Linked DNA regions of Oreochromis niloticus. The protein of the gene in region 1 interacts with the protein of each later gene in a pairwise test. Links are inferred from orthologs where the notes say so. Each region holds a gene or a part of one and is shown in the gene's direction. Other genes may lie near its edges. The genes, in order: klhl12 and ttbk2a.

Region 1 (15,228 bases):
AGCAGGGATCATCCCCAAGCTTTGCCCTGTGCTCTGACTTGGGCAATTTGGGTCTTTACATTTGCCCATTTCCAATCTGTTCACTATGAAACATGTGGAGCATTTACCAGCTTAATATATTGGTATTGTTACTAAATAACTGACAATATTTGCTTCACAAAGAGCTCTAAAAGTTTTGCTTTCTCAGTGCGAGCAGGAATAAAGATATTTTAAATGCTTTTGACAACTGATTTAGCTTTATGTGGGTTTTTAAAAAAAAAAAAAAAAAAATCAATCTTCAATGAGCTTTGTTTCTCTCTCTATGGTTACGAGCTGTGGGTAGTAGTAGATCGCAGAAAGTCAAAGCTCTAAAGGATGTCTGGGCTCAGACAGTATAAAGAGAGTGGTTATGCAGGAGGGAATCAGGGTAGAGCCAGTGCTCCTCAGGCAACTGACCAGGAGTTCGCCTGGTGCCTCATAGGTAAGTTGTTCCAGGCAGGTCCTCCAGGGTGGAGAAGCCCCAGCAAAACCAGGACACCTTTTAGAGATTGTGTTCCTTGGTTGGCAATACCTCAGGTTTTGCCCAGAAGAGCATCTGCTGACATTGCTGCCTCTTTGACCCGGAGCAGCCGCATAAGCAGCAGAACAACAAACATGATGGCATATTCGTGTCCACCTGGCTGAACCAAACAGCACCAGGATTAAAACAAAAAACCAAAAAAACCAAACTGAGGTGCAGGACAAATTGAATGAACACCAAAGCAGCACTTGTGCCTGCAGTTGTGACTTCATAACAGCAAGTATAAACAGCCCTAATGTCAAAGTGTTTTCCCAGTGCAGGGCTCGCAAAATCGCTAGCCCGACGTCCCGGGGCTAGCGAATTTTTCAGTCGGGCTACCAAAATCTATCTCAGCCCTGCCCGTCGGGCTATCATAGGAAGGAAAAATATATGTCAATGCTTTTGCATTCTTTCGGAAATGTAGCTGGGTAATTATGTCATTGGCATCGGTGAGCCACTGTCAATATGTGACATATTGAAATCGCGTTTGAATTTGAGCTTGTTTTTTGCTTTCACTTTGCGATCGCGTGAACTGTGTATAGAGAGCGGCAGTACTGATTGGTGAGTGACGATTAATTGCGCACCAATTCCTCTGACGTCGTCTTATCACTCATTAGCTTACTATTCAAACGTGAAAAGTGAAATCTCCCACAGCAAGCTTAAACATGTGAGAGGTTGATTGAGCAGAGAATCACTGACCGTTATGTGAGTGCGTGTGTAAAAGCAGCAGGATATATATTTTAGTTCTGCTGAGCCAAATAAGACAAGTCAGGGTGAAGAAGTGACAGCCAAAAAAAAAGCCTACCACAAAACGGAAAAGTTATGACAAATCAGACTATGAGGGAAAAAGAAAGTGCAGCTTTATGGTTTCATTGAGAAAAGAATTTCTGTGGCTGGAATATGACAAGCTAAATAACCAGGGGTGCACATAAGTGGTCCGCAGGTGCGCATTCGCTGTCAAAAATAAAAAACGCGCACCAGATAAGAAGTTGCAACACGCGTTTGCGTACATAAGATTTTCTGGAGGAGGACAGACATTTGTTTAGAACTCTTAAAGGTGTCGAAGAAGCAAGCTCCTTTAAGCAATTACTTTGGTGTTCCTCCACCTCCAAAGAAATGTCAGAAGGAGTCTGAACCACAAAAGAAGCACGTATTCTCGGAAAATTGGTTGCAGGAGGTGAGCTGGCTTCAAACAAATGATGAACGCACAGAGATGTGGTGCAGACTATGCTGTGAAAATCCCACTCTAGCGGACAAAAACAGTGCCTTTTATATGGAGGCAAACGCGCGTTGCAACTTCTTATCTGGTGCGCGTCTTTTATTTTGACAGCAAATGCGCACCTGCGGACCACTTATTTGCACCCCTATAAATAACAATGTTCTGCCGGGTGTGTTGTTGGTTTTCCCTCGATTTCTGAGTCGACAAGCGCCTTTGTTACTGGGACCAGTAATTTTAAGAAAGACCCCCATTAGAACCCATGAGAAATGCAAGAAATGCATTATTGCTCAGTCTGCAATATCTTTCCCAAAACAAACACCAATTGCAAAGAACATACCAAAAATAAACCTGAAAAATCTGTTTAGAACAGCGTACTATGTTGCACAGAGTGAACTACCATTGGCAAAATTTAGCAGTCTTTACAAACTTGGTTCCACTTACCCCTTACCCATGACTTCAGTGGAAATTTCAAATTCAGGACCTGACACAGACTGATTCATGTTCTACACAGTTCTTACAAGTTCATAGAAATTTCTGTTCAATTAGAACCAAGTATTTGAGTTGATGATTGTAATTTTTATACAATGTTGTAATTTGTGTTTCAACAATTTTTTGATTAATGTTTTGTTTCCGTTACAATATTATACTTTAATGTATAATATTGTAACGGAAACAAAACAGGAAACAAAACATCAATCAAAAAATTGCTCTCTTTTTTATTCGGGCTACTTAAATTTATTTTGGGCTACCACAAACTGAAGAGTCCCTGCCCGAAGGGCTACCAGGGATTTTCAAATTTTGCGAGCCCTGCAGTGTCACTCTAACCAGAAGGTCGACTCATTGATGCTGAGGACGACTTGAAAGCTATAAAAACATGATAAACCTCGACTTTTAACGATGAGGGTAGAATGAAAAGAAACACCTCCATCATTTAAAAGCACAACAAACGAAAAGATTCTAAATTTATCATAAAAGCCGAATCAAAACCTTAAAAAAACGGTGTCAGCAGAAACTAAGAATTATGACCTTCATAAAGGGAGGACCTCATGCTGAGTTACTGCATTAGAGTGGCCTCATCTTTAGCTCTGTGTGCCTAACAAACTAATAACTTTGCATATTTTATAAATGTTGCAGACAAGGACATAAAATAAGGCGAAACTATAAAATACAAGATATTATGGTCATTAGGCCAACCAGGAAACCAAATTATCTTATACAATGAGAAAATACTGACTTAAAGGTTTGGATTTTTCTGTCACTGTCTCTCTGAATTAGAGGAAATATTGAATTTTCAGTACTGAATCTTTTCTACACTTACCTGAGTAAGGATATAGTTCCTCCGTGCCTCTTCTACGGTTATTAGGCTGGCATTAATGTAGTCATTTGTACCTAACTGCAGATGTATTCTGCTGTGATCAACTGAAAAGAGAAAAAACAAAAGAAATATGAAAATATGCATATGAACTTTTTAAAAAAAAAATTTAAATGCCACAACCCACCAGGGACTAGAAATGCAATTCTCAGACCAAAACAGCTGTAGGGAACACTTAACAAGCATCTTCATACAAACTAAAGATGTTAACTATTGTGAGATTAGCTTTTTATGATTTCCAGTGAAGAACCTTTTAGGTAAAAGGTTAGCAGTATAAAAAAAGTTTCAGGTTCCTGATTTTCATATCTGGTAAAGGGGAATAAGAAAACCCTTGTTGGTATTTACGGTAACTATTTGCAACCCAGTCTGAGAAAAAAAAAAAAAATTTGCATGGCTTATTGAGTGTGAAAAAGAGGAAACTCTGTAGTTCAGCTGTTAGGACGTTTTGTAGAAAGTTCATTGCAACCTGACTATCTGCTGAAGCTGACATGAGGCTTTCAGTTATTGCAAAGTCTCCAGCAGTAGAAAGATTTTGAGAAGAGGTCAGCGTGACCTGTGAGAAAATTATCACAAGAGGAAGTGCACTAGACCCAAAGCTATCTGATTTGTACCCAAAAAGAACACATGAGTATAATGAACCTTGTATTTTAAATGCCAAACTGCTATAGAAAATTCAAACAAAAAAGCAAACAAACAAGCAAAAAACACAAAAAAGATTCATGATCAAAAAATACATATTGCAAAAATCATTTGGTATCTTTGTGTTCTTTGAGTCACCAGCAAGAGGGAAACTTCCGGAGCTGAAAACACAGAAGTGGCAGAAACTACAGATCCTCTAGAGAACACTTGAGGTTGACTCTAAAAGCGAGTAATTCCCAACAGACTCCCCTGTCAAAACGCCCAAATTTACAGCATTAAAATATATATTTACAACTTGGTGTAGAGAAGAAAAAAAAAAAAAAAAAAAAAAGAGGAAACTCATTCACTTAGATAATTGAGTTATTGAGTTAGCTTAGTCATTGTGTTGATTGACAAGTGTACTTACATGTAGCTGATGTACACCTCCACTAACTGGAGTCACTGAGCTTTTTTTAATGGAGATCATTTGACTAATAACTAATGTGTGGTACAAACTAGTCACAAAGTTTGTGCTCCTTTTTGTTGAGTGTTTCCTGCTACTGTATTAATTAACAGTTCATTGATGTTGCTAAAAAAAACTGTACCTGTAAACTCAGCCCTTCACCCTTTCATGCATATAAGGTCAACTCTAGCTCCCAAAAAACATCATAACATTATGATAGTGGCCAAAACTAACTTTAAAGCTTCAAAATTCAGCTTTTATCCACGTGCATCCTTTTATACTGTGTATGGTCACCAAACTGCCAGTAAGAATATATTTTAGATACACGGATTTATATCCTGAAGTAACAGCATAATATCCAGCACACAGCTTGTAACAGTACCAAAATATTGGTCAAAGACACCAGTAAGTCCCAATGAGGCCAATACTGTTAATGAAATCAAGCTCACAAAAAACAGTGGCTCCTTTAAGATTTTTAAGATATATCCTCAATTCAGAAAAAAGATTATTTTTTAAATTAATATTTATGAATGAATTATGCTTCAGTATATACGCTCACTTTTTATGTAACATACAAAAAAAAGGAGCTGTGTGGTTATGGATAACCATATATTTATAAGATAAAAAAAGAGAGGAAATAGAGGAAATGCTTGTTTCTGTTTTTGCTTTTTATTTTACCATTTATTTCAAGGCTTAAAAAAATAGATGATACTAAAAACATTGCTGAAAAAAAAAAAAAAAAAAAAACTTAATTTCCCCTTTCCCTGATCTTCCCCTTGTGTAGGTGTTTTTGAGACACTCAGTAATAAATTAGCTGGAAATACTATGCCACGCCAGTTAGAGTCATGCAAGGCTGTTTCTATTGCGCAATACTACCTTTACTTGACTTCAAACTGATATTACAGTGCTTGTACCTACTAAAACAGCAGACAGCTTAGGTGTTTATATAATGCTGCATAATGCTGTGACTTCACCACAGATGTTTAAACATAAATAGGAGATTACAGACCCTTCAACACTGCGGGTAGAGTACCAAGCAAAGAGACCCACAGTGGCATTCACTTAACCTTCAAGTATTCAAATGAGGTCGCATTATCACCCCAGCTGTATATTTATATGTGCCTTTGTGATATTTTGAATCAGAAAAATGTTCCTATCATGACATGACATGACATGACATTTGCCATTCCACAACTTTTCATAGTTTCTTACACGAATAACCCCTTTGGTGTGGCAAAGATAATAGAAAGCTGTGTGAAAATGTGAGCATGTTGTTTTTTTTTAAAAACATAACAGTGTTTGATTTTATTGTAATTTTCCACTTGTACTCACTCACTTTAATGTTTTGCAATGAACCACAGTTCACAGATGCAGAGCAAGATTCAGAGATATCCTGAAGCACATGCGGTTTGACAACTGAGCAACCAGAGCTGGCAGGCAGGACACAAACAAATCTGCTACTTTCAGGGGCATTTGGACAATGTTTCTATCACAGTTACCCAAATACTATATCCCTGTGACCAACCTCTGTGTGCATGGTGCTAGCTTTAAGAGGCAGGTTAAGTTTCAGGTAATGTATCTGTTCTACAGAAGGTTTGGCATAAAAACCTGGCATAACTGTGATGCTTAAAATCACTGAAAACCCTAGTTAATTACATGAAAACATTTTAAAATATCTGCCCTAGATAAATGAAACCAGTATACGAGTATATAATGAGGTCCTAAATGTAATTTTAGTGGCTAAAACACCTTGAGAGTTGTGGGAATATTTTAAGTGTTTCAGACTCTGCGGTCCAGCACACTGAGGCAAGCAAAGACAAACTTACACGGGCTAACGTCTCTGTATCGATTCCGATTCTTGTTTTCAGGTGATTTGGCAACCTTACAAGGGAATTCACTCGACTGCTGCCGAATCTCCTGTAACAGAATAAAAGGAGGAAAACAAGCATTAAAGCAGAGTTTTGGTGTTTTTGCAGGGTTTTTTTCGTTTTGTTTAAAAAAAACAACAACAACAACAAAACAACATCCACTCCACATTAAAAAGCTCTGAGTGTGACTGCTGTATTCTTTAAGACAAACAAACAAACAAAACAATGATGACATTCACTGATGACCCTTTTACAATTTCCTCTAGCTATCTCAATAACAATCAGGATTATATTTGCCTCAATACTAACACTGTCAAAAGCTTGTATTTAGACTACCCTAAAATATGAGGAGGGGGTTATCAAATTTCTGAAACCAGAAATTTGCTGGTTGCTTTCTTAGGGTGGTTAATGAAAGTTTAATTTAAATGTCAATTCTGACTTCCAACAATTATGAAAACAAGAAACAACATTCATTTTCATTGTTTTTATTGTTTCATGATATACATGTTCCAAGCCCACCTATTTTGCTTTCACCTCTTCCTAAAAAGTTTAAACTTGCGGTTTAGTTCAGTTGCAGGCAATATAACTGCAAGAGAGCTAAACAGCGGGACAAAAAGTTTCAAGGCATAGGTAGGTGAACCTGTGGAAAGATTATTAATGGTTGACTGCAGCCGTTTCCAACTCTAGATCACTTAGGGCCTGTCACCCTATCTGCTTTTGGCAATGCTGAACAGTTTGCGGTCAGCTTCAGTTCTCTGTGGTTCATCTGAGGCTGCTTTAAAGGTTTCCCAAGACGGCCGAACTCTATTACAGCGTTTCGCCCATCTGGACCCACAAACATTCCGCTATGGAAGCTATGGGCTTGTAGGGACCATCACCTGGTCTGGCTTTATAATCCAAAGCCCTGCCTACTGAACAGTTTTTTTCTATGTTATTTGAATTATGTAACAGTTAAAGAAGATTCCATGTGAAAAAACAACAACAACAACACAGTTTTAACTTCAGCCACTGCATAATGTTTGTAAAGTTTGTAAATAATAGAGAGATGATTGAGATTTGACTCAATGACCAATCATAGTCCATAACCTTATGTTCCACAGTTTCAGTTTATTCAATTTTCTTCAGCAGGGATAAATAACAAAGACACGAGGGAGAAAACCAAAGTCCACAACAGGTCTGATCGTTTGATCAAGACTGAATTACGAATAACAATTTAGCTCCATTAAGAGCATTTCCTGGCTCAAAATGAGCCTTTGGGGTGATTACATGAAGTTTGCGTAGCAGGTCAAATTTTCTTATACGCAGAAAGAAAGAAAAAAACCCCAACTAAACAGTACACTTCATATCATAAATGAGGAAGTGAATGCCTTTGACATGTTTAGTAGACCACAAATGTACAGAAAATATTTAATGTGTTGGTAAATGTTTTGAACAGTACTTTTGCTAGCTCACAAAAAAATTCCCAGGGGGTACTTTTAATTTTAAGTTTTAGGATATGGTCTTAAAGAATTAAAATAGAAGCTGTATGGCACATATAACAGACTAATGAATCCTGTATGCAATAGTATATTGGGGAGAGGGGGATTCCTGGCTCAAAGCAGGTTTCAGTTGGGGTTTTTTTTGGTTATTTGTTCTGTCAGAAATTTATTTTTTCTAAATTAACCCCACTGAAAACCCTTAACAATGCATTTAAGTTTGAGTAAATCAAACCCCATTCAACAAAAATTAATAATTCTCTTTTATGAAAGGCTAAAACTTCTTTAGAATGTGGCAAAGTTTTTCATAGAGGAAAATTTCTACCATTATTGTGATGCATTTCCATTTGAATTGTTACCTATGGCATTTTACACCTTACGTGTATCATGGTATGGGAGAGATAGAACCGCGATACGATATTTTGGAGGTTTGTATCGCGATTTCACTCGGTTTCAGGTGTGTTATACCCCTATGTAATGTATTACAAACATTTATAATAATTATAATAAGCTGCCGATTAACAGCGGAATGGAAATGTTAGACGAAACTGAGAACAAATCATTAAAAATAAGTTAGTACGTCCAAAAAATGTATGACGTCAGTCAGCGTTGAGCTGCTGCCTTTATACCCGGGCAGACGCATCAATCATCGGTTAACTCCGAGCAGGAAGAACAGGCGCTGAACTAAACACCAACACACTGATATAGCCAGAGAAACTATAGCTACCACCTCACCTTACATAAGCTACACGTTGGCCTAACCAGCTTCAGCTACGGTCTGATTATTTCCACCTTAATTTGCCAAGAGCTCTTACCTGATAAATGGCGTTCCAGCTGCCGTTTTCATCGATTTCCCGAAATTCAGCTTCCATCGCTGACAGTCCAGCTGCCACTCACTCTCTCGTTGTTTAGCCTCCCGATACGAACAACCAAAAGTCCCCGAAGATTAAACAAATTTCAGTCAAACTATTCGCAGTAGCTGCCAACTGGTCTGCCGCTGTTTTGTAATTCTCAGTGCGGCTGCATAGATTACCGTCTCGGCCTGCTCTTAGCGGAAACACGCCGCTAACTCCTCCTCCTGCTGCTGTAGCTGCCGTCCTTGGGTGACCAAAAAAAAGAGAGCAGAATTTTTTTTTTTTTTTAAGAGATAAAATTCCTCCTGCGTTTCTCTGTGTGTCACTTTGGGTTTATAAGCCCCCGTCAAATCCGGATTTGTCACTTAGTTTGAGTGAGACGGCTATTTTACTATTCCTACAGCAGCAGTTGAGGCCGACCAGCGGGCATGCGCGGAAGGCATCTTGTTTCTGGAGCGAAACGCGTCTGGGCGGTCTCCTCGGGGGACGCGCACGTACACTCACGTAATGGTCTGTTTACGTCCAATCTGTGGAGTCGCTGCTCTGCTGCTGCAGTTTAGTCAACGGGATATTATAGCTGGATAAAAATCCCATCGGGATTTAATATGATGCCGTTCCGATATATGTGTCCTCACGGTGGCCGTGCATAGAGTGACCCGGCAGAGGTCGTCATGGAGTAGCTGTAGTTGAGGGGCTTTGTTTAGGCAGTGCGACTGGGAGCAAAGAACTGGGACAGGGGGACTTTGGTGCTACTAACGTTAGCTAGCTGAGCAACTTAGCTAGACGTTTTTACTGCTGCGACAGGTATTATTATAAGTTGTTTTGTGTGTGTGTCGCTCCATGTGTTGTCTTCCTCTGGCCGTCAGCTCACTTTATATTGCTGTGTTTTCGTAGTTGTTATTGTTAGCGTTGGCGTTAGCCGTCAGCTGTCGTTGGCTGCTGCTAGCTAATGTGTAGCTATAGTTATTGCCTCCCAGTGGTGGAAAAAGTATTCAGATCTTTTAACGGTAAGTTTTATTTGCAAGACTGTAGTGGAAAAATGTTCCAAAAATGTAAAGTCTGGAAAGGAAAAAAAACACATATTTATTTGACTAGCATTATTAAATATGCTGCATTTATTCATAGAAATAACTGATCATTTAAACCTTTCTACAAGAAGTAGAGTGATGAGAAAAGTATTTCCCCCATTTCTGAGTTGTTATTTTTTTCATTTTTGAAATCTTCAAAGAACTTTTAAAATTAGGCAAATGTAATCTCAGTTAATACAAAATGCAGTTTTTAAATGATGATTTAATTTATTCAGGGAGTAAAGATATTCATACCTACCCGGCCCTGTGTGGACAAAAGTAATTGCCCTCTACAACCTTGATAACTTGTTATACCACCCTTGGAAGGATGAACCGCAGTCAAGTCTTTGTGATAACTGGGAATGAGTCTTTCACATGTGGAGAAAATCTGACCCACTCTTCTTTGCAGAATGATTTTAATACAGCCACATTAGAAGGTTTTCAAGTATGAGTGGCCAGTTTAAGGTCATGCCAAAGCATCTTAATCTGGTTTCAGTCTAAAATTTGACTAGGCCGGTCCAAAATCTTATTTTTTTGAGCCGTTAAGAGGCAGACTTGTTAATGTGTTTCAGATCCTGCTGCATAACTCATGTTATGCACCAAGTTATGCTTGAGCTCCATGGGACAAACTGATGACTTCACATTGTTCTTCAGGATTTTCTGGTAGAGAGCAGAATTCATTGTTCCATGAATTACAGCAAGAAGCCCTAGACCATCACACTACCACCACCGTGTTTCACTGTTGGCATGATGTTCTTTTTGTGAAATGCTGTGTTAGTCTTACATCAGATGTAACAGGACACAAACCTTTCAAAGGTTCAACTTTAGTCCTCAGAGTATTTTTTTTTTCAAAAGTTCTGGGGTTTATTTAGATGTTCTTTGGCAAATGTGAGACATGCCTAAGGCCTCCTGGATCAGTCATCGATGGGCTTTTGGAGTAATTTTGGTAGGCTGGCCACTCTGGTGAATGTTCACCACTGTTCCAATTTTTTCTTCATTTGTGGTTAGTGGCTCTCACTGTGGTTCACTGGAGTCCCAAAGCCTTAGAAATGGACGTCAGTGACTTTGGTTCTCATCTGTTTTGATCATGGCATGATATGTTGGTTTTTGAGCACTTTTGGGCTACTTTACTTTGTCAGGCAGGTTCTATTCTTGTGATTTCTTGATTCAGTAGGTGTGGTAGTAATCAGACCAAAGTGTGGCAAGTGTAATTGAACTCTGATTTCCAAAAATGTGGTTAATTGGAGTTAATTCATGATTTAACAAGGGTAACAATTCTGTTTTTACACAGGGCCAGGTAGGATTGGATAGCTTTTTTCCCCCTTAATAAGTCAAGTCATTGTTTGCAAGAAATAAATCAAGAAGTCGAGCAAATACAGCACTATAAATACTATAGTGCTTCTATGATAGTCAGTATTTTCTCTCCATTGCTGTCCTGTAAGCAGAATAAATTATGCTATTTCTTGTCCTTGCCAAGAAAAAAATGTAGAAATAATACACAATACAAATTATATATATACAAAGTAAGTATTATATAATGTAAAAGTTAATATAAAGTGGGGTTTTTTTCATGTACATTTTCATTAGCAGTTAGGTTTTGGGGGGGGAGGGGTTTGGGTTTTTTTTTTTTTTTTACAAAATGTTGTAAAAAGGGTGTAAAATAGTGACAAAAATCTGTTATCATTTCCCACAAAGTGTCACAAACTTATCTTGTGAATAGCCAGCAGTTCAACCCAACTGACAAATTACTGACAGACACACACACTCACTAGCTGCATGACTTGCTTGTACAGTATATAAAAATGTGACATTGTGGCGTGCTTTTATGCTTACTGTGGAATACCTTTCTTCCCAAAGGATGTTTTCAAAATAGACTGTCTTTTTTCCAGATTCATTTAGTAGTTTGAGATCCGTAAGGGATTCTCAAAGCAGCATGGCTCCCAAAGACATCATGACCAATTCCCATGCCAAATCCATCCTCAATGCAATGAACTCACTTCGCAAGAGCAACACACTCTGCGACATCACTCTGAGGGTGGAGAACACTGATTTTCCAGCTCACCGAATCGTCTTGGCTGCCTGCAGTGACTATTTTTGTGCCATGTTCACTAGCGAGGTAATAATGTTTGAAAAATAGATGCCCCAGTTACATTCCTGATGCACTCTTTTATTCTGTTTTTTTCTTTGTTGGCCTTTCTGGGTGTTTTAAGGTGGTGTTACATTTGCCTAAAATGCAGGATGATTCTCAAAAGTAATCCTTCAAATAAATGTGTTGTTGTGGCTCTGTAGCTTGCAGAAAAGGGGAAATCTTTTGTCGACATTCAGGGGCTCACGGCATCCACTATGGAGATCTTGTTGGACTTTGTCTACACAGAGACTGTGCTCGTCACGGTGGAGAACGTACAAGAGCTGCTCCCTGCAGCGTGTTTGCTACAGCTCAAAGGTAAGTTCAGAGCTGTACCTTGAGTTAAAAAGTTTCTAATAATTGTCTCTGGTTTTGACATTGTCTTCAGAAGCTTCTGTGTTTTGAGCTTTTATAACTTTGTTTAACATGTTAATATAACATAATATAATTATGTCTGTTTACCACGGTCTGCTGATAAGAATTAGTGTGTATGGGTAAATGTGGCATATTTACAGTGTTCATGTTAATTAAAGTGCAATGTTATGATGAAAGAAAATAAACATAATGATTAAAGAGTTTGCCTAAGCCATCTTTTCATGACTGTAACCCCAGATCTTGAAACGTATTATTCAGTTTCCTCAAAGATACGTTTTACCAGGTATTACAAAGTTTGAATTGTTTCCTCTTGCAGGCAGTAATGTATTAGTTTTAGCATGACTTAGGTCAGTTTATGTGTAGCTGGTAGAATAAACTGGGTTGTTGTAATGTTGGATTTTGGAGTTTTAGTAAGCAGGCCTGTTGAAATAAGTCACTTTCGCAAACGTTAGTAACTGGGAAACTCATCCAGTTACAGATTTAAATGGATCATCTTTAATTCCTCAATCCATTCATGAAACAACGTAAGGGCTTAATTCGAACCTCAGTTACAGCAGTGTAATCAATCAATCACGCAGTGTTGTATTCAGTATTCATACCTTGTATAGCACCTGGGAAAATCCATGCATCCATCTATCTTCTGCCAGGATGAGTGGGCAGCAGTCTAAGCAGGAGTGCCCAGACTTCCCGCTCCCTGGCCACCGTATCCAGCTCATCTTAGCAGACGCCATATAATCTTATATTTAAAAAAAAAGTTAAAAAAATGACAGCGAATGTTGCAAATATATATATTTTTGTAGATAGTGTGAATGAGTCTGTTTGTAAAATTAATCATATCATCCAGAATTATTATAGTCTGCTGGGAACCGCAGAAAATGTGATGTAATAATTATTTTTAGGCTTAATCATCAATTTAAAATTCTATTTTCTAAGAAACATTTATTAAACAGTGGTACTATTCCATTAAAATGCCTTCTGCGTTTCCAAATTAAGAGAGAATTAAATGCTGGTTTTCGAAAGAGTTAAGGCTACAAATGGTGTATGTGTGTACAAACCTATCTCTGTATTCCCTAGGGGTGAAAAGAGCGTGTTGTGATTTTTTGGAGAGCCAACTCGATCCGTCCAACTGTCTGGGCATTCGAGACTTTGCAGAGACTCACAACTGCCTTGACCTGATGCAGGCCGCTGAGCTCTTCTCCCAGAAGCATTTCTCCGAGGTGGTTCAGCATGAGGAGTTCATGCTGCTGAGCCAGACAGAAGTGGAAAAGCTAATAAAATGTGACGAAATTCAGGTAGGAAAACTGCATGTAGGGAGGCTTGTTTCTCTTTGAAGATCTTTTTAAATGTGCTGTGAATGCTGCTTTTTGTTTTGTTGCTGGATGATGTAAAATTTGTTACTCCAAGCGCCTGAAAGTTGCCTGTTAACTTTTTTGTCTGCATGAAAGTTAGTGTTATAGTTTTATAATTTTCTAATTGGTTTTTATTTTTATTTCATTTTGACTTTTTTTATTCAGTTCCCTTTCAGTTAGTTTCCAGAGTGGCTCATTTTAGTTTCTGTAGTTTCAGTTTACTTGGTTAGTATTTGTGATATGGAGAATATTGATCAGGGGGAAGATTTAGGGAATTACGGTTTAAACATGACTTTTTGTGAAGGCTGTTGCCTCACAGTCACATAGACATTATATATCTACAAATGCACTAAAGCCTCATCAGGCAGTTTGCAGTTTTTAGTGAGTTTTGCAAGTTCACAAAGTTTTATTTCAGTTAACTAAAATCTTTTATCACAACTAGTTTTAGTTTGTAGTCGAGTTCTAGTTAATTGTAATAACGTTAGTCTGCAGTACTACTGAAATAGTTAAATTTCAGTCTGAGATCCCTAAAACAAATAGTTGATTTAATGCAAATTGAGCTTGACTTTCACAGCTTCTATAATGTCTGTCAACAATCTAAGCGCCAAAAATGAAAAGCAAGTATAAACCTGTTACAGAATCAGTCTGTGACCTCCCCCCAACCACCCAAGTTCCAGTCAGTGTTGTGGATTGACCTGACAATGAAATTGCAGAGAAGTGAATCTGATTTAAGTTTGGCTTTGTGCTCAGGAAATTCCTGTTTCCCAACCACATACCCCGCTTTGTGAAAACACAGTTATTATCACATGATGATTTATAGATCACAAGTTCTGTCAAATTGTCTTTCCTGTCATATTTGTTGTTTTTAAAATAAAACCAGACCATACATGTAAATCATAGTCATGCATAATTTGCTTTCAGTTAAAGTTTTCTGTCATCCTTGAGGATTTGAAGTTTATTTTAGCAGACTGCGCTGTTTCACCTTTGTACATTTTGTCTTTGCAGTTGCAGAAATCTCTTGAATTGTTGCCACTAGTCTTGCCACAAGTAATTATATTTATTGAAAAAGAGCTTGCATCAAAAATCAGTCTTGTGCAATCGTTCAATTGCAGCTGTTAGCAAATCCTTCAGTGTTGTGTAGATTTACTGTCAGGTGTTATTAATGTACATGTTGTCGGTATGCAGGTGGACTCGGAGGAGCCTGTATTCGAGGCCGTATTAAATTGGGTCAAACACAACCGCAAAGAGCGGGAACCCTACCTGCCAGACATGCTCGAGTTTGTTCGGATGCCGCTGCTGACCCCACGCTACATTACAGATGTCATTGATACTGAGGTGAGCCAGGCGACGCTTTGTGGGTTGTTGTGTAATCACATGCCAAGCCTCCTATGAAAGATTTTTCTGTCAAGTTTTATCACACCGTAATTAAGCAAGTTTTTACTCGTCTTAGCCTCTCATTCGGTGTAGCCTGCCATGTCGAGACCTTGTTGACGAAGCCAAGAAATTCCACTTAAGACCGGAGCTGAGGAGTGAGATGCAAGGCCCACGCACACAAGCCAGATTAGGTAGGAATCCAGTTTTCAACTGCACTTTAGCTAAATGCTTGTCTTGTAGACAGAAGCTTTGTAAAATACGTTATTTTCTTTTAAGGTGCCAAAGAAGTCCTGCTGGTTATCGGTGGGTTTGGCAGCCAGCAGTCACCAATAGACATAGTTGAAAAATATGATCCCAAAACTCAAGAGTGGAGCTTTCTACCTGTAAGTATTAATTTGGTGCATGTATTTGGCTGTTGAACCAGGGGTGTCAAACATGCTGTGCAAAGTGTGAAAATGTTATTGAACTCATAAATTGCTTCCAATTCGTCAATGAAATGCAAGGTTTTTCATGATGCCAACATTACACAAG
Region 2 (15,908 bases), on another chromosome or scaffold:
TGAACCTGAACAGTCTGTTACATTATGATGATCTATTTATCTGAAGGTTAGTCAGAGACAGCTCACCTCTGCCCGAGAGAACAGGCATAAACCTGAAGGCCATGAGAACACCAATATTCAGCAGCATCGTGATTATAAAGGCCACCCGGCCCAGGATGTAGTGATCTGTGAGGAGGATGAAAGACTGCACGAAGCCGAAGGTAGGAGTCAGATCGCCCTCCAGAGTAAAGTGCTGCTCCCGCACTGATGACCGGCCTGCCGCGTCCTGACTCACATGCACACATAGAAAGACAAGAAGTTCTTAGTTTTTAGAGAAAGGTAGGAGCATTTTTTTAAAAGTACGAGAGTACAACAAACCCCCATAGCCACCAGTGGGTGTTTTCTAGCTACAATTCCCAGACAGCAAATCTAATACAGCTATTCATAATTCAACAAAGGAAAACAAATCTTCTTAATCTAATAAAAGACCCATGAAATATTCAAAAGTCTCAGAACACAATAAAGTGGAAGATAAATGAATGTTGCACCGACCTCCACTTTAACTCTGATTGTGTGCAGTCCTGTGAGGTAAAGAGACGGATCCCATAGCAGAACATAAAGGGGGCCTCCAGCAGAGTGACCTTTCCCCAGAGGTTCCCCATCTACACTCACATGCACCGCAGTGATTGGGGCCTCTGAGAAGGCCAAGATCCTTCAGAAAAGAAAAGAAAATGAATTCTTAAATATTAGAAATTGAAATTCATTTGCACTGGAACAAAAGAAAACAGAAAATTCAACGCATAGACAAAACACCTGATGTGCGTCGACCTTCGTATCCGACCCAGTGGCTCCACCCCTGGGTGCAGATATTGTGCATCCTTGGGGTTTGTGATGAGCACTGCAGGCCACTGCTCAAACCTCAGATCAGAGAAACTCAGCAGGTCATGGTCAAAGGCCAGAACCCTGTACCTGTAGAAAGATGTTAGAAAAATATGGGCGATAATACGACAGAAACAGAAATACAAGTAAGAAAATGTTGAAACACGTAGTGACTATAAACACCTGCGATTGTCCATCCAGTCACCCAGCTCCAGCTCCAGAGTGCCTTGGGGATGCCGGCTGTGGAGCACAGGCATGAGGCCACCCAGAGTGTGCAGATGGCCGCACAGATATGCAACTGCAGATCTTAACACAAAAACGTAGAAATTTTAGTTAGACTTGTTAAGTGTCTGCAAACAGAGGCAGTTGAATATGTACTTTACTCCACAGCATGAATTTGAAACAAGCAGACAGTCAAAATGCTTCTTACATTTGTTTTTTATCATTCTAAGACTGAGACACAATTTTAGCTTGCAGCCAAAAGGAGGAGGTTGCTGAATGTTTGCACCATGACGTGATGGAAAAAATGTTTCATTTCCTCAGCTCACCCTTAAAATAAAAATAGGAAGAAAAAAAAAAAAGAAGATTCAAAATTGGGGATTGTTCTTGCCTCATCATGTCTCGTACTCCTGAAGAAGGAGAGACGATGGTGGAGGTGGTGTAGTGGCCAAACCAGATCGACTGGTTGCTTTTCAGACTCTCAGCTCTGAACGTGTCCAGCAAGTCCATTTGAGTCTGTCAGATATGACAAAAAAACTTCATGTTTATGAAAACAGACAGCTAAGCAGATACTTTAGTTATTGCTACTCAGAAACTAAAACACTGTGCGTTTACCATTTTCTTTCCTGTTTACCATTTGCTGGACCACATTTTCTAACAGAGGAATGTAGTCCTTCAAAAACTCGCCGCTTTCTAAAGATCTCAGAATTGTTCATGAAGAGGTGTTGCACAAACTCACCTGGTTGAGAATACCAAAGAAATTGTACGGCCTCTTGGGGCCTGGAGTCAGGGTGGCATCCACACAGACAAAGGAGTAGTTGCCAAAGGGGGTCGTGTGAACGTAGTGGAAAGAGCCTACTTTCTGATTGGCTGAGTATTTCCTAGAATAAAAATTGAGAAACCTTAAACATGAGCATCAAGCTACTGTACAGCATAATACAGATTTTTTTAAAAATAAATAAATAAATGCGATCTTTAAAGAATATCGGGAAGATTAAAGACCAGCCAGCGCTAACAGAAGCATCAGCAATGTCACATAAAACATGAAAAAAAAAAACAAAAACAAAAAAAACAGTGTGTAGGTCCTGCTTCTATTTTTGTCGTCAGGATGTTCAGATAGCTGAACTATTAATGGAAAACAAGTCTGCAACTATACTGGTTTATGGGCGTCAAATGCCACAGGATACTCCAATCAGCTTTCTCTTGTTGCTGTGAATTGCAGTAAGGGACTTTACTGGCCATTTACTGGTACTTTGTACTAACCTGTAATAATTGGTGATGCTGTCCAGTGAAATAATGTTGAAAGCATCTGTGAGGAAAAATGAAATAACTGTGAGATTAAGCAGTGTAGAAGCTGTAAGGGAGGTGACCGATGAACTATTCTTGTACTGTATTGTAACAAAGAAAAATCTCCCTTTACTAAAGGACCCACAGATAAACATCCGGGAAACACATCAGCAGCTGTGATCAGCAGCAGAATAGCTGTCAGAGCCACTGCAGATCCAATGAACAGCTTTGCCTTTTTTTTGACAGTTACAAATTCAGGGTATCTTGTTTCACATCCAGTCACAGAGGAAGGGAAGAGGAGGGGTAGAACCACTTCCTGTGGGATGCTTCGGAAAATCTTAGCTGTACACTCAGCACACTAAAGATGTTTCGGCTGAATCAGTGAGCCTTGAGAAACCATAGTAATTTTTGAAAAAAGTGCCATGGTTAATCACCGTGATTTCCGCGGATGTCAATCCACTTGGTGCGCTCCATTACACGTGACCTCTTTAGGATGTTGTGGTACGCCTGCCACTCCACCTCGTGCTGGAGGGATCCCACCTTACTCTCTGTTTTAGCATCCGTCAGATCCCCTGGGGTAAAGGAAAAAAGGGGAGAATCTCTGTAAGCAAACTGTCATCTGATTGCATGAGTCTGGCACTGCATGATCTTGAGCCACACCCATTCAGTCATATTATATGCAAAGAATTTAACAGGAACCAGATAGAGATCACTGTACCTGTTGCAAGCACAAGAGCTGGTTTGATCACCTCAATGGTGTCGGTGCAGAACTTTTCAAAGTCTGGGATGCGCCTTGGGTCATGAAATCGACTAATGTGAATATCGGACACCTTGAATTACACACACACAAATGGAGGTGAGGGGTAAAGGCAAATATTTTAAATGGGGCTCTGTGACATTTTCAGCTCTTGTGGTATAAAGGCTATAGAACAAGAGTGCAAAGTCTGGCTCAAAGTTGCTGTGTTTCTGTGTTGAAACACCTTTTCACCCAACATCGGAGCACTTCTGTGGACACTGACCCCTTTCTGTCAATCATTCAGAGAGTTTAACCTTAACACAAAGTCAAACGCCTGTATTGTATACACACTAGATGTAAATAATCCCTACAGACGGAATAACAGCCCACCTGTACAAACCAGAATATATTGTTCAAGTGTTCGCCGGGAAATGGTGGAGAACTCCCCTTAGATTCAGCTCCATCACCGACAGTCGGGTGGTGAACGCTCCGTTTAGGGTGCCAAGCCGTGTCATAGCTGTCCAGCACCCAGGAGGTGATGCACGCCAGGGCCAGTCCGAGGATAACCAGTGCACCAAACAGCTTCAGCATCCTCCTGTAGTGGCGAGAAAGGGGGGCTAGCTGCCGCCGTCTATCCCGGACAGAAAAAAAGCTAGCTACTGGTGGAAACAGCTAAGGGCACGAATCACACTAACATTAACTACAGATATAACAGACAACTGAGCTACATGGCTAAGAGCTAAGGCTCAGACCGTTTCTGTCGCTGCCATCGCGGCCACACGGGATGCATTGAAGTGCGTGGTTCATTCACGGCTCCGTTCAGCTGCCTTCGGAGGCGGAGGAGGTAGCACGGCAGGTTAGCCAGCAGTTAGCTTCCTGCCTACCAGCTACCAACACACAGCTCTGACCGGGTGGAAGGGGGAACGTCACCAACAATGACGAGGCAGCGTTATGACAGACAGAGCTCCCACTCTGACATTGTTTTTCAGAGCTCCGTAATGATAACACACCTGCCATCGCGAGGAGTTTCGGGAACACCAAAGCACTTGTCAACTTCGGGTTTTTATAATCATTTATTCCCCAAAACCGTTTAAAAAAAAAGGAAATAATTAAAGCTTTCGTACAGTTTTTAATTCTGCCATTTGATATACGGAACTGGAAACGCTTGACATGACCTGGCTGATATTTGAAAGATGAATAAATGAATAAATAGATAGATGAATAGATTAATAAATTTATTTTAAAGACAGAAAAAAGGAAAGGACCCTTTATTTGACATTTTTTCTGTCTTTTTCTGGGGGAGGGGTTCTGTCAAAAAAAAAATTCCATCTCAAGCATCAAAGATACTTTTTTTTTTTTTTTTTTTTTTTTTTTAGCATTTTTAAGTATTTATTTTCACATCTTTGCTCAAATACACCAATTATATAATAATTCAAAATGTTACAAAGGCAATAGATCCAACCCTTGTGAGGTAATAAAAACATTTCTGATCATTTTATCAATCGTGACATGGTAACAGGGTTGCAAAAAAATGACTCGGCTGAATGGATATATCCTTTTATTTGTAGATTATGACATATTTGTGACAAATAAATACTCAGGGCCACAAAACTGTTGTTAATATAATAATATTTTGTATGTTTTTAATATGCATTTCTTATGTTAATTTTATATGATAACAGGGTTGCTAATCAGCACTAATATTAGTGTTTTATCAGTAAAAGATATTATCCGTGGAATTTAATGATCTGTGAAAGTCAAGGATGTAGTTATGTAAATAAAAGGACAGAAACTCTGAAATGAGTTTGTCTTCTTTTGATAACATGTGCAATGGGTTTGCAGTTAGAGTGACACACTCAGTCTTCACTGGAAAAAGACAAAATATGTCAAAGAGGACTGACCTTTGGTCAACCCATGGTGCTAGCACATGACTCAACCATGTCACTTCTTCTTTGTCAGGTCGTCTCCCTGTTTTTGTCTCTTACTCCTCCAGGCTAAATAGGTTTTGGTAACTGGGTTGCACATATGTTGTGAATGGTTTCCTTTTTTTAAAAAAAAAAATGCTGATAGTAAATGGTTTGACATTTCTAAATGAGATCTTTCAACAAAATCAAAACAGAAAAAATGAATTCATAACTTATTTTATATAATATATTATATTTCATATATTTGACATACAGTTTGGCTCAAGAAGTTGGGAGAAGAGAAAAATGCCATTTCTCAGAGGTTCTCAAAGGCCATTTTGTATTTTTAAATAATATTTTTCAAACCAACAATACGTTTACATTTTGCCTCAGGAATGGTGTATTTACACAGCAAATGCATACCTTAGTATTTATGAATTCATTATTTTCAAATTATGGCTGGGACAGAAAATGTCCTGCAATCGTATGTTGACCCAGATATCTGCAAATAGGAGGATACTTATGGCTGTGGCTGATGTTTATCTGATGTGCCACAGCACTTTTGTGCGGGCTAAATTCTCAAAAGTAGTGTGACAAAGAGCTTAAAGGCTTTAAAAAATACTGAGAATTCTTTGATCCCCTGACAGAAAAGAGAGAATAAATAACAAAAATAAAATGAATGAGAGCACACATTAAAAGAAAGTAAGTCAAAGTAATCATTGGAATAAACCCAGTAAAACTGCTGTTCAGTTACAGTGCATTGTATGATACCAATGACTAATCTCGAATGTAATTGAATCAAAGCGGTGCAAAACAGGAAATTATTAAGACTCCGTTTCCAAACAAATTAAATCTTCAGCTGTGCTGAATATACACTGTATAACAATTGTTCCACAGCAATGCACTGTATTGGTGCAAGAAAAATATGGTGCAGTGTGCACACAGCGTGCTAGATAGAATCAAACAGAAATAACTGCATTGCAATCTTGCAGTTTTTTCTGCAGATGGAGCTATATTACAGTAATCTTACATATCTTTTCACTGGATATTTTATCTTTATGCAGATAAAATGGGATAGTCTTTTTACAAACCACATTTTCTTAGGGTTGTATTTTTAGTATTTTCATTTTTAGTATGTTATTATTGTAATATGCAATATATATGTGTAAAAGTAAAGATTTAGAAACTGTGATGTAATCTAACTCTACTCCAGTACTTTACTGACATTAAATTTTCATTATTTATATGTCTTGTGCTGCATTGCATTTCTACTTGTATGCTGCTTTATAACAATTCAAAATGAAGTACTGCACTTTTTAACTGTACTATAACTGCAGGCTTTAGACATTTTAAGTCTATTCAGTGGATGTAATTGAACACCTTCAGTATACACTGAAAATGGGAAGGTGCTGAATGTGTACACCTGTTCAGACAAAATATTTATATACTAAGGTACCACACTTACAGTCATGTAAAAATAAAATAAAATACAAAATATAGCATTTCACAGGACTTTATGAAGTCTTGTGAAAACTAAGTACACCCCATGATTGAATATCTTGTATAAATCGTAGCAGCAATAACTTCTGTATGACTTCATCAGTCTCTCCCATTGATGCAGAGGAGTTTTGGCCCACTTTTTCTTTACAATGTTGCCTCTGTTCATTGAGGTTTGCAGGCCCTTGTATATGTTTAGCTCTTTTAAGATCCACTAAAGCATTTAAATCAAGTTGAAGACTGCCCTTTGACTGGGAAATTGCAACACTTTGATTCTTTTCCACCTATTCAGTTTTAGATTTGTGGGTGGCCTTAGGGTCTTGGTGCCCAGGTCCTGTGGCCGAAAACCAAGCCCATATCATAATGCTTTCACGGTCGTGCTTCATAGTTAGTATGAAGTGTTGCTTTGCTGTGTTTGGTTTTGTGCATTATGGCCACACATGTCCACTTTGGCCTCATCTTTCTAAACGACATTGTTCCAGAATTCGTGTGGTTTGTTTAAATGCAATTTTGCATACCCAACCTGTGCTGCTTAGAGAGAAGAGGCTAGAGAAGGTGGATTTTTTTGCAACTTCCCCTATATCGCACTGTGTAGCATTGTATTAACACACATCTGAATCCTGCAGACCAGCAAACTGCCAAAACCTCTGCTTTTATAGAGATGCTCACACTTGCTGATGATCATTTGATTAGCAACACCTTGCTATTACTTACCCTCTTAATTAGAAGCATTTTGTGTGTACTTTTCACAGGACTCTATGCAGTCCTGTTTAAACTTTCTATTTCACATGACTGTAAGCAGTTTTGAGGAAACTTTTTTACCCAACTCCATTACAATTGTTTTACTAGATCATCTTTCCTTTCTTTAGATTGAACTACAAGAAAATCACTTATTCACTACATGTAAATGTAACATTTTTTGACAATATCTTTGCTGTCGCACTTTTTTTCTGTTCCACTTAAATAAAAACCGTGTATCGTATGTTTTGTATTGTAAAATGCACTTTTCATCACTGAGTGTTGTTGTTTGTATTGCAATGGCATCTTTTGGTTAATGCCGCCCCCTAGTGTTATTGATAAAAAACGGCCTTTTGTGGCCGCGTTCCAAACCAAACCGATTGTATCCTTCATATTATCCTCTAACATCATTTTCTCATATCTCCTTTGTACGTCCATATATGATGACACTCCGCATACTCTTTGGGCTGGGAAAACAAACGCAGACGCGGTGACTGTGTACTGCGCGTGCGCGCAATGCTAAACCGCGGAGACGAGCTTTAAAGAGGGCCCCCTCGCGCGCGTGGCCGAGCTGTTGCGAGGGGCGATCGAATCGGGGCCGCGCGCGCAGGAAGGCTGCTGATCATCACAGAGTTGTCACGTCACGGATCCGCAGCGACAGATAAAGATGCTGAGGTGACAGGCAGAAGGAGAAAACGGACGATCACACTCAGACATATTTCCTTCCCTCCTCCATTCGCTCTTTTATTTTATTTCCAGTCACCGACAACACCACCACCACCTCCGCCTATGGACGCTTCGCTCGCTATGGGATTCCGCTCGTTGTCGTCCCCGCCGCCCCCAAACCAAAAGGATTTTTCGTAACCACACCCGGCTCGTCTTTGGATCAAGGGCTGGCAGCTCAGACCCGAGGTAAGGATCCAGATGATTCAGTGCCTCCTCTTTTTTTTCCCCACCACTCTTAACACCCCCATGTTTGTCGGCGGCAGCTGCGTACATGCGTTCGGTTTGTTAACCTGCATGTTGTCAGAGCTTACAGTCAGGCAGGATGGGCTTGCGTGGCCTGCGGATGGCCAATGTGCGTGGACGCGCCTGAGTAAATCTGCTGTGGCAACCAAATCGCTATGCAACAGCTCTCCACAGCAAAGCCGGGGTCAGTCAATGCAGGCAAGAGAGGGGGTTTCATTTTGCAGAGCGGCGTTACACCTTTGCTGGGACTCGGCTGTAGCTTGTTATCGACACATCCCGTTGAATACGATACAGAAGGCCTGATTGTATTTGCTTGGTCACTGTGGTATGCACTAATAATGATGAAAAAGATGCACTGGAGGCAACTGTAGCTCTTTACGTGAATGCATCTTTGATTCCCTATATAAACACACTTTCTGGTCCCATCCTTCCCTGCTTCCCAGTCTTCTCTTGATAGAACCCATAGTTCTGGAGAGAAGTCAGTCCAGACATTAATTTTCATCCAGCAGCAGTCTCTCCGTCCTACCACTGAACCAGGCCACTCTTGGATTAGGCAGAAGATATTCTCGTTGGATCCAGGCTTATACGCATGTATGCATAGCAAGCTTTCAGGGTCAGGCTTGATTTGTTGTTGCTTTTGTGAATATTCACCATCAAATCACATTCATATTCACTCTCAAGGAGGAGCTACTCTGCGGCAGAATCACTCATTGACATTTCATGATGCTTTTTCTAGCTGTAAACTTGCAGCTTCCAGCAGACCTAAAGGGCAGAGGCGATGACCAGCTGCAGTCAGCAAATGAAAATGGCACTGCACCATCGTCGCCATGGAGATGCTGGGGTCAGGAAGCTTGATGCATTATGAGGCAGGAGCTGGCTGTCATACTTGGCTTTTAATTTTGGGGTCCAAAGGCTGCTTCTGGTGGGCTTGTTGTTTTCTCTCTCGTCATTGGCCGTGTCTGGTATGGAGGAGGAGGAGCAGAACCGTGCCCCCTCTGTAAGGCGTTAGATTAGTCACAGTGTGAGGCAGCCTGGCTGGCTTGTGCAGATGTGTTGATTTGTGCAATATGTGTACAAGCTTATGTTTGAATGAATGCTGGTGTCTTTGTGAGTCAAAGATGGCCTCAGATGAAGCCACTATTTAAAACTTTCTTTCCCCACACCCTATTTGTATGAAATAACAACCTCCAACTTCTGACTAATTTTAAGCAAATTATCTGCTGTGATACCCAGGTGTGACCCTGTGGAAAAATGTCCTGAAGGAAAGCACTGGAACATGCTGTGACCTTGAAGTTCTCACTCAGAGCACTAGTTATTCAATCACAGAGAAAGTTGCTCATCCCTTGAGGATATGAGCATTTTTGTGGAGCACGTTTGATGGCATGCTCTGTGATTTTGCATAAGCAGCAATTAGCTCAACGTTGAGAATTCACAGTTGGCTCAAAGACTTACTGTGTTCATCTCTAATTTACCAAGAAAAATACTTGTATAGAAGTTTAGCCAGTGTGGATTAAAAATAGATTGATTTCATCTTTTTATTCACTTTCGATTCTCTTGAACCAAAGCAGGACAAAAGATTCAGGAGGTATGCTCAGGAGAGAAGAGGAGTTAGAGAGAGACTGGTGTAACAGTGAAGCTGGGGGGAGCGGAGGTAGTGAAGGTGGCTGATTTTAAATCTCAATCTTTCAAAGCAATGGAGAGTGAAGAAGAGAGTGCAAGGCAGTGTGGAGTGGGTGGAGAGTCAGAGGCGATTTGTGACAGTAGAGTGAAAATGAAAGGTTTACAAGATGGTAATGAGACCTGCTATAACATATGGTTTGGAGTTGGTGGCACTACCAAAAAGACAGGAAGCCAAGCTGGAGCTGTCAGAACTGAAAATGGTAAGATTTTAAATGGGAGTGACCAAAATGAACAAGATTAAATATGAGTACATCAGAGGGAGAGCTCAGGTTGAACAGTTTGTAGATAAAGTTAGAGAGGCAAGGCTGACATGTGCAGAGGAGGGATAGATTCTGGGCAAAGGATGTCGATGCAGGTGCCAGGGAGACGGAAAAGAGAAACATCACAGAGCAGCTTCATGGATGTAGTGACAGAGGACACGCAGAGGGTAGGTGTGACGGAAGAGGATGTTAGGGATTATGGGTGAGATGGAGGCAGAAGATTCACTGTGGCGAGCAGTCAAGGGAGCAGCTGAAAGAAGAAGAAGAAGAAGAGTGAATGACCCAATGCTTAAAAGAACTAATGGTGAATGAATGTCAGCACTCACTCTGCTGTGTTTAGTATAGTAATTGGAAAATTCTAGCATGTGAAATGATGACCGTGATCTCTGTTATTCCAAGCCTGCTGACAACAGAATGAGTGGCATAGCTGTAGAGCATACTCTAGTATAATTCGGGATTCTAAAATGTTTTAATATCATTAAATATGGTTTTCAGTCATTTTTACACAATAAAAGGTAAAGATTACGATTAGGATTAGGGTTAGCCTCAAGGCTTCTTCAGCAGTAAATTGTGCTACATCCTAGTTCATAGCAAAACAGTACAATGTAGAGATTAGTGGGCATTTTAAACTAAATCAGAGCATATATACTGAATATTTGCAGTGTTATGAATGACCGCACACAACTTTCCAACCCTGCATTGTCACAAGTCTGATCACTCAAAGCCGCTTCATTGTGCTGCACTGGCCAAAACACACAACCACTTTAATGTCATCTGATATTTGCTGTGCTGTTTTTACGACATTTAGTAAGTCATTGTTGATTTCGAATTATCGCACGTGTCTTGATTTCAGTGAAGTTTTTCCATTATGAAGATATTTGGTTTGTCGTGTATTTTGTTGAGCTCTACCCATGCTCTATGCATGCCATTTGTTACATGTTTGATATGTTTAACCGCTTATAAATAAAGCATAAATTAGCTTATTATCCTCGCTACACCAATGGACCAATTCATGTAAAACAAAAAAACTGAAAAGCTGTAGGAGATGTAGACACATTCATAGTAGGAAGCATATATAAATATACAGCTGGGATCATAATCAAGCCCCTTTTGTCCCGTGAAGGTAAACATTTTAAAATAGAATGTACTGTTAGTGTAATGTAAGTCCATTACAGTAATTGCGAGTCATTAAAAGGGATTTGTTTGGTCCAGTTGTGTCGTTGGATCTGTGTAGCTTCAACAAAGGCCACCTTACTCCTGAGCCTTAACCTTGGGTCACATTTCATGCTCATCACTTCACTGTTATCTGCTCTAACCACACTTCTCCCTCTTCCAAGCCTCACTAGCATGCTGCATGATGGGATTGATTGCCTCCTTGATGTCGGGATCATGCCCTGTAACCAAATAGTGTTTTGAAGGCTCGTTGCGTAACCGTAGATGCTCGGGCGCCGTGTACAGAATGATGAATCAAAGTCGGGCTTGCTGTGAGTGAGTGTTTGAAGGCGGACTAAAGGAAGTATCTAGCGAGTGCTCTCCGGAGGAATGTTTATCTGCGACACGGATGTTGTATAATGCAGGAACACGGACTCGGTTTTTCAAAAGGAAATTCCATTTGAAAGTTGATGTGTGCTAAAGGAGTTTGTGCCACATCATGTCAGCCTAATTAAATGATCAGCAACACTTTTTAACAGGTTGTATTTTATAGAGATTCTATAAATTATTATTAAGTTTATTAATAATTTTTCTATTAATGCATTAGAAGCCAATTTGGCTCCTCTGGAACGTGTTTATCCTCCAGCATGCTGCTTTTCAGACATCTAGTCCAAAAATGTTTTATTAACAAATGATTACCATGTATATATGTAGTAATACTGACACAACTAACTTTATTTAATATGAACTGTAAGTTAGAATTACTACAGAATGATTCAGTATTGTGATAAATGCGATAAAAAGAGTTCATCTACAGCTGGATTTGACATGAATGGTCCATCTTTTCTTTCTTTTATCTTCATCCAATTTCCCAGTTGATGCTGATTTTTCTTTCTTTGGTGTCAGGCGTAGGTATTATGTAAGCTGTAGCTTCAACCTACACATTTTTGGTTTGTCATTTGATTTTGTTTTTTTAATCATTCAATTTCTCGTGATATAAATGAACAGAATAGAAATAATGACTGCAGATATGCATATTTCTGTTGTCTGGAATTAAAAATAAACTTAAAACTGTCTTACAAAATAAAATGAATGAATATGTAACTTATAAGAATAGTTGGTGCTTTGTGAAAATTCAGTTATTTATAAAAATGGGAATTTTTGTGTGGTTTGGTTTTAATCAGTTCACTACTGAGTCGATTTAAATTAAGCAAATTAAACCGACTCATTACATCTGATAATACACTCATAAGGCCTGCCGCTTGGCTTTCATACACAGAAGAGGGAAAATGATACTAAGATGATGAAACCTCTTTGTAATGTAATAGTTTTGCCTGTGAGTTTGTTGGGTGAGCTTGTCTAGAAGGACAGCTGCTGGCAGCAGGTGTGGCAGCTGCTGCAATGGTCACGTATCAGAAAGCTCCAGCTATTGAGGCAGCAGTTGGTCTCTCAACTGAGCGGCATGCATGCTTTCTGTAGTGATTTTAATGCTGTAAAACCTGCTGGATGTTAGCCTGAGATGCTCAAGTGCAGCTTGGTCAAATGTAACCAGATTACAGCTGATTTCCTTCTTCCGCTTCTGACTGCTTTGTTTCTCTCTTGGACTTCCGTAGGGTTCTCCATCAGATCCCAAATGCTCGGCCCAGTGTGAGGCTGCTGGTCGTGGGGGAAGCAGTGAGGGCAGCGTCCCTAGATTTGCCGACGGGATGAGTGGGGGAGCAGAGCAAACTGACATCTTGAGCGTGCTCTCCCTGGTCAAGGAACGATGGAAAGTGGTAAGTGCCGTGTTTTCCAGCTACAATAGGCTTCGTGTTTGTGCAGCCCCATCACTGCCTGTCCCGAGGTCACCCTCTGTTCCACAAACAGGATTTCTTTGTTCCTCAAACAATGCTTGCTCTGCCTATGAGCGCCACCGCTCTCTTTTTAAGTGTCTCACCTGTGTATTCGACAGTTTGGGGTCATGTCTCTCTGTCCAGGTTCTGCTGCTGCAGTACGGGTGATCCAAAAATAGCCTGTATAGCTATTTGTGGCAGTTCATTGTGCTATAGGCAGCAGCAGCAGTGCTCCCCAAAGGCCCATGTCTCTCACTGCTGTGCCAGCCTGGGCTCCGTGTGAGGCTGTTATTCCTAACTGGCTCCACTTCCTGTCATCTAAGGAGTTACATAAGAATGCTGCAGCTAATCCCACAACTTTAGCTCCAAGTGCGACAGAAAACTCTGTGCGAGCATGGAGGACAGTGAAGGGCACATCGGAGCTTAGGGGAAATTAAAGCTGTAGTAGTTGAGATACAAGATGAGCTTGAATACTATTGGTAGTTGAGAAGCAGCTAAAAGAATGAAATAAGGACGATGCTATGCAGAAGTATAGGTGAACTATAAACTGAGTCATATAAATTCCTGCTGGTTAACCAGGAAGAAAATTTCACATTTGCCAGCAGTTTTAATCAGAATCATTTTTTTAAAGTTAAATAAAAAAACAACAACAACCTCTCATTATGTGTTTTCACTCATTCACTGTTTGCTTTAGTAGAAGCCAGTTTCTAGAATTTTTCCCATTAGGGGCCACATCCCAGTGATTAGTTAAGGCAAGGCAAGGCAAGGCAAGTTTATTTATATAGCACAATTCAACAACAAGGTGATTCAAAGTGCTTTACAGAGACATTAAAAACAAAAACAAATAAAAAGCATGATTTAAATTTGATTAAAACAAGCAAACAAACAAACAAACAAACAAAACAGTATATAAAATCAAATATCAAAACAGTAGATAAAATCAGTAGTTAAAAAGTAGGTTTTGAAATTTAAACTTAAGTGTGGATTTGGTGCTTTATTCAAATGCGGCTGAGAATAGGTGAGTCTTCAACCTGGATTTAAATAAACTGAGTGTTTCAGCTGATCTGAGGCTTTCTGGGAGTTTGTTCCAGATATAAGGAGCATAAAAGCTGAATGCAGCTTCTCCGTGTCTGGTTCTGACTCTGGGGACTGATAACAGACCGGATCCAGATGACCTGAGGGATCTGGAAGGTTCATACTGGGTCAGGAGGTCACTGATGTATTTTGGTCCTAAACCATTCAGAGCTTTATAGACCAGCATCAGAACTTTAAAGTCTATCCTCTGACGGACAGGCAGCCAGTGTAAAGACCTCAGAGCTGGACTGATGTGGTCCACTTTTTTGGTCTTAGTGAGGACTCTAGCAGCAGAGTTCTGAATGAGCTGTAGTTGTCTGACTGATTTTTTAGGTAGACCTGTAAAGATGCTGTTACAGTAATCAAGCCTACTAAAGATGAATGCATGGACTAGTTTTTCCAGGTCCTGTTGAGACATCAGATCTTTTATCCTTGAAATATTCTTGAGGTGATAGTAAGCTGATTTTGTTATTGTCTTAATGTGTTTTTCTAAGTTTAGGTCTGCATCCATCACTACACCCAAATTTCTCGCCTGGTTTGTGGTTTTTAGGTGTATAGATTGAAGTTCTCTGGTGACCTGTAATCGTTTTTCTTTGGCACCAAAGACTATTACTTCAGTTTTGTTTTTGTTTAGCTGGAGAAAATTGTGGCACAACCAGTCATTAATTTCCTCAATGCATTTACCAAGAGCCTGTACAGGGCCTCGGTCTCCTGGTGACATTGTGATATATATTTGTGTGTCATCTGCGTAGCTATGATAGTTTATTTTGTTGTTCTTTATAATCTGTGCCAGTGGGCGCATGTAAATGTTAAACAGAAGGGGTCCCAAGATGGAACCTTGGGGAACTCCACATGTGATACTTGTCTGCTCAGATGTGAAGTTACCTATAGATACAAAATATTTCCTGTTTTCTAAGTATGTTTTGAACCAGTTTAGTACAGTTCCTGAAAGACCTGCCCAGTTCTCCAGTCGTTTGAGTAATATATTGTGGTCAACTGTATCAAATGCTGCACTGAGATCCAGTAAAACTAAGACTGTTAAGGCCAAGTTAAGGCCAAGTTGATTTCTATAGCACATTTAAAACCACCTCAGTTTACCAAATGGCTGTACAGATTGTAAATACAGACTTAAATACACAATGAAATATACATCTAAATACCAAAAATGTTAAAACACGAACACTGTAAAAAAAAAAGGGTTAAAAAAAGGACTATTCAGTTCAATTAAACTTTATTTATATAGTGCCAAATCACAACAACAGTTGCCTCAAGGTATTCAGGACTACACTGCTGGCTCACAGAACATGTGACCCATATTTAAACGCGGGATTCAGAGGGACGTTACAAAGGGTTTATTTGTGACGTTTTATGAAGATTAATGGATGGAGGATGGCTGGATGGACTGGCGAATGACTTTTTTCTATACATTCAAATAAGAACAAAAATCTGCAACTAAGGATCAAACCAAATCGCAGTTATATCATGCCACAGAAAGGATAATAAATACTATTAAATCGCAAGGAGGTTGGTTTTAAAGGGGAATCGCCCCCTGCTCGCCATCAGAAAAAGCATAAGTTTGAGGCCTTTTACAAACCCAAAGGCTACATCTGTCTTTTGCATACGGTCTGTGGGCTCATGTGCCATTGTAGTATTCTTGTAGTTGACAAAACACCTAATTGTCATAAACTCTGTGGAGCCTTAA

Evidence for each region.
Region 2: the proteins of klhl12 (region 1) and ttbk2a interact in binary tests that used the Homo sapiens proteins (3 or more experiments, as listed by UniProt). The two-hybrid records come from large-scale screens. The link is inferred for Oreochromis niloticus from reciprocal best matches to the Homo sapiens genes KLHL12 and TTBK2.

Annotation. Positions count from the first base shown.
Region 1 is NC_031984.2:10,037,819-10,053,046, forward strand, and holds the start of klhl12 (kelch-like protein 12), read left to right. Parts: upstream 1-8,936; 5' UTR 8,937-9,211; exon of another isoform or gene 9,212-9,304; 5' UTR 9,305-9,356; coding exon 9,357-9,414; intron 9,415-11,363; coding exon 11,364-11,590; intron 11,591-11,763; coding exon 11,764-11,917; intron 11,918-13,048; coding exon 13,049-13,266; intron 13,267-14,508; coding exon 14,509-14,658; intron 14,659-14,773; coding exon 14,774-14,888; intron 14,889-14,973; coding exon 14,974-15,080; intron 15,081-15,228. Other genes in the region: ptpn1 (tyrosine-protein phosphatase non-receptor type 1), read right to left, coding at 3,076-3,176, 6,037-6,127, 8,369-8,425. UniProt on the Homo sapiens protein: Substrate-specific adapter of a BCR (BTB-CUL3-RBX1) E3 ubiquitin ligase complex that acts as a negative regulator of Wnt signaling pathway and ER-Golgi transport.
Region 2 is NC_031983.2:19,233,166-19,249,073, forward strand, and holds the start of ttbk2a (tau-tubulin kinase 2), read left to right. Parts: upstream 1-7,801; 5' UTR 7,802-8,151; intron 8,152-12,913; 5' UTR 12,914-13,006; coding exon 13,007-13,075; intron 13,076-15,908. Other genes in the region: tmem62 (transmembrane protein 62), read right to left, coding at 67-265, 532-691, 793-948, 1,042-1,164, 1,469-1,593, 1,817-1,958, 2,341-2,386, 2,799-2,936 and 3 more.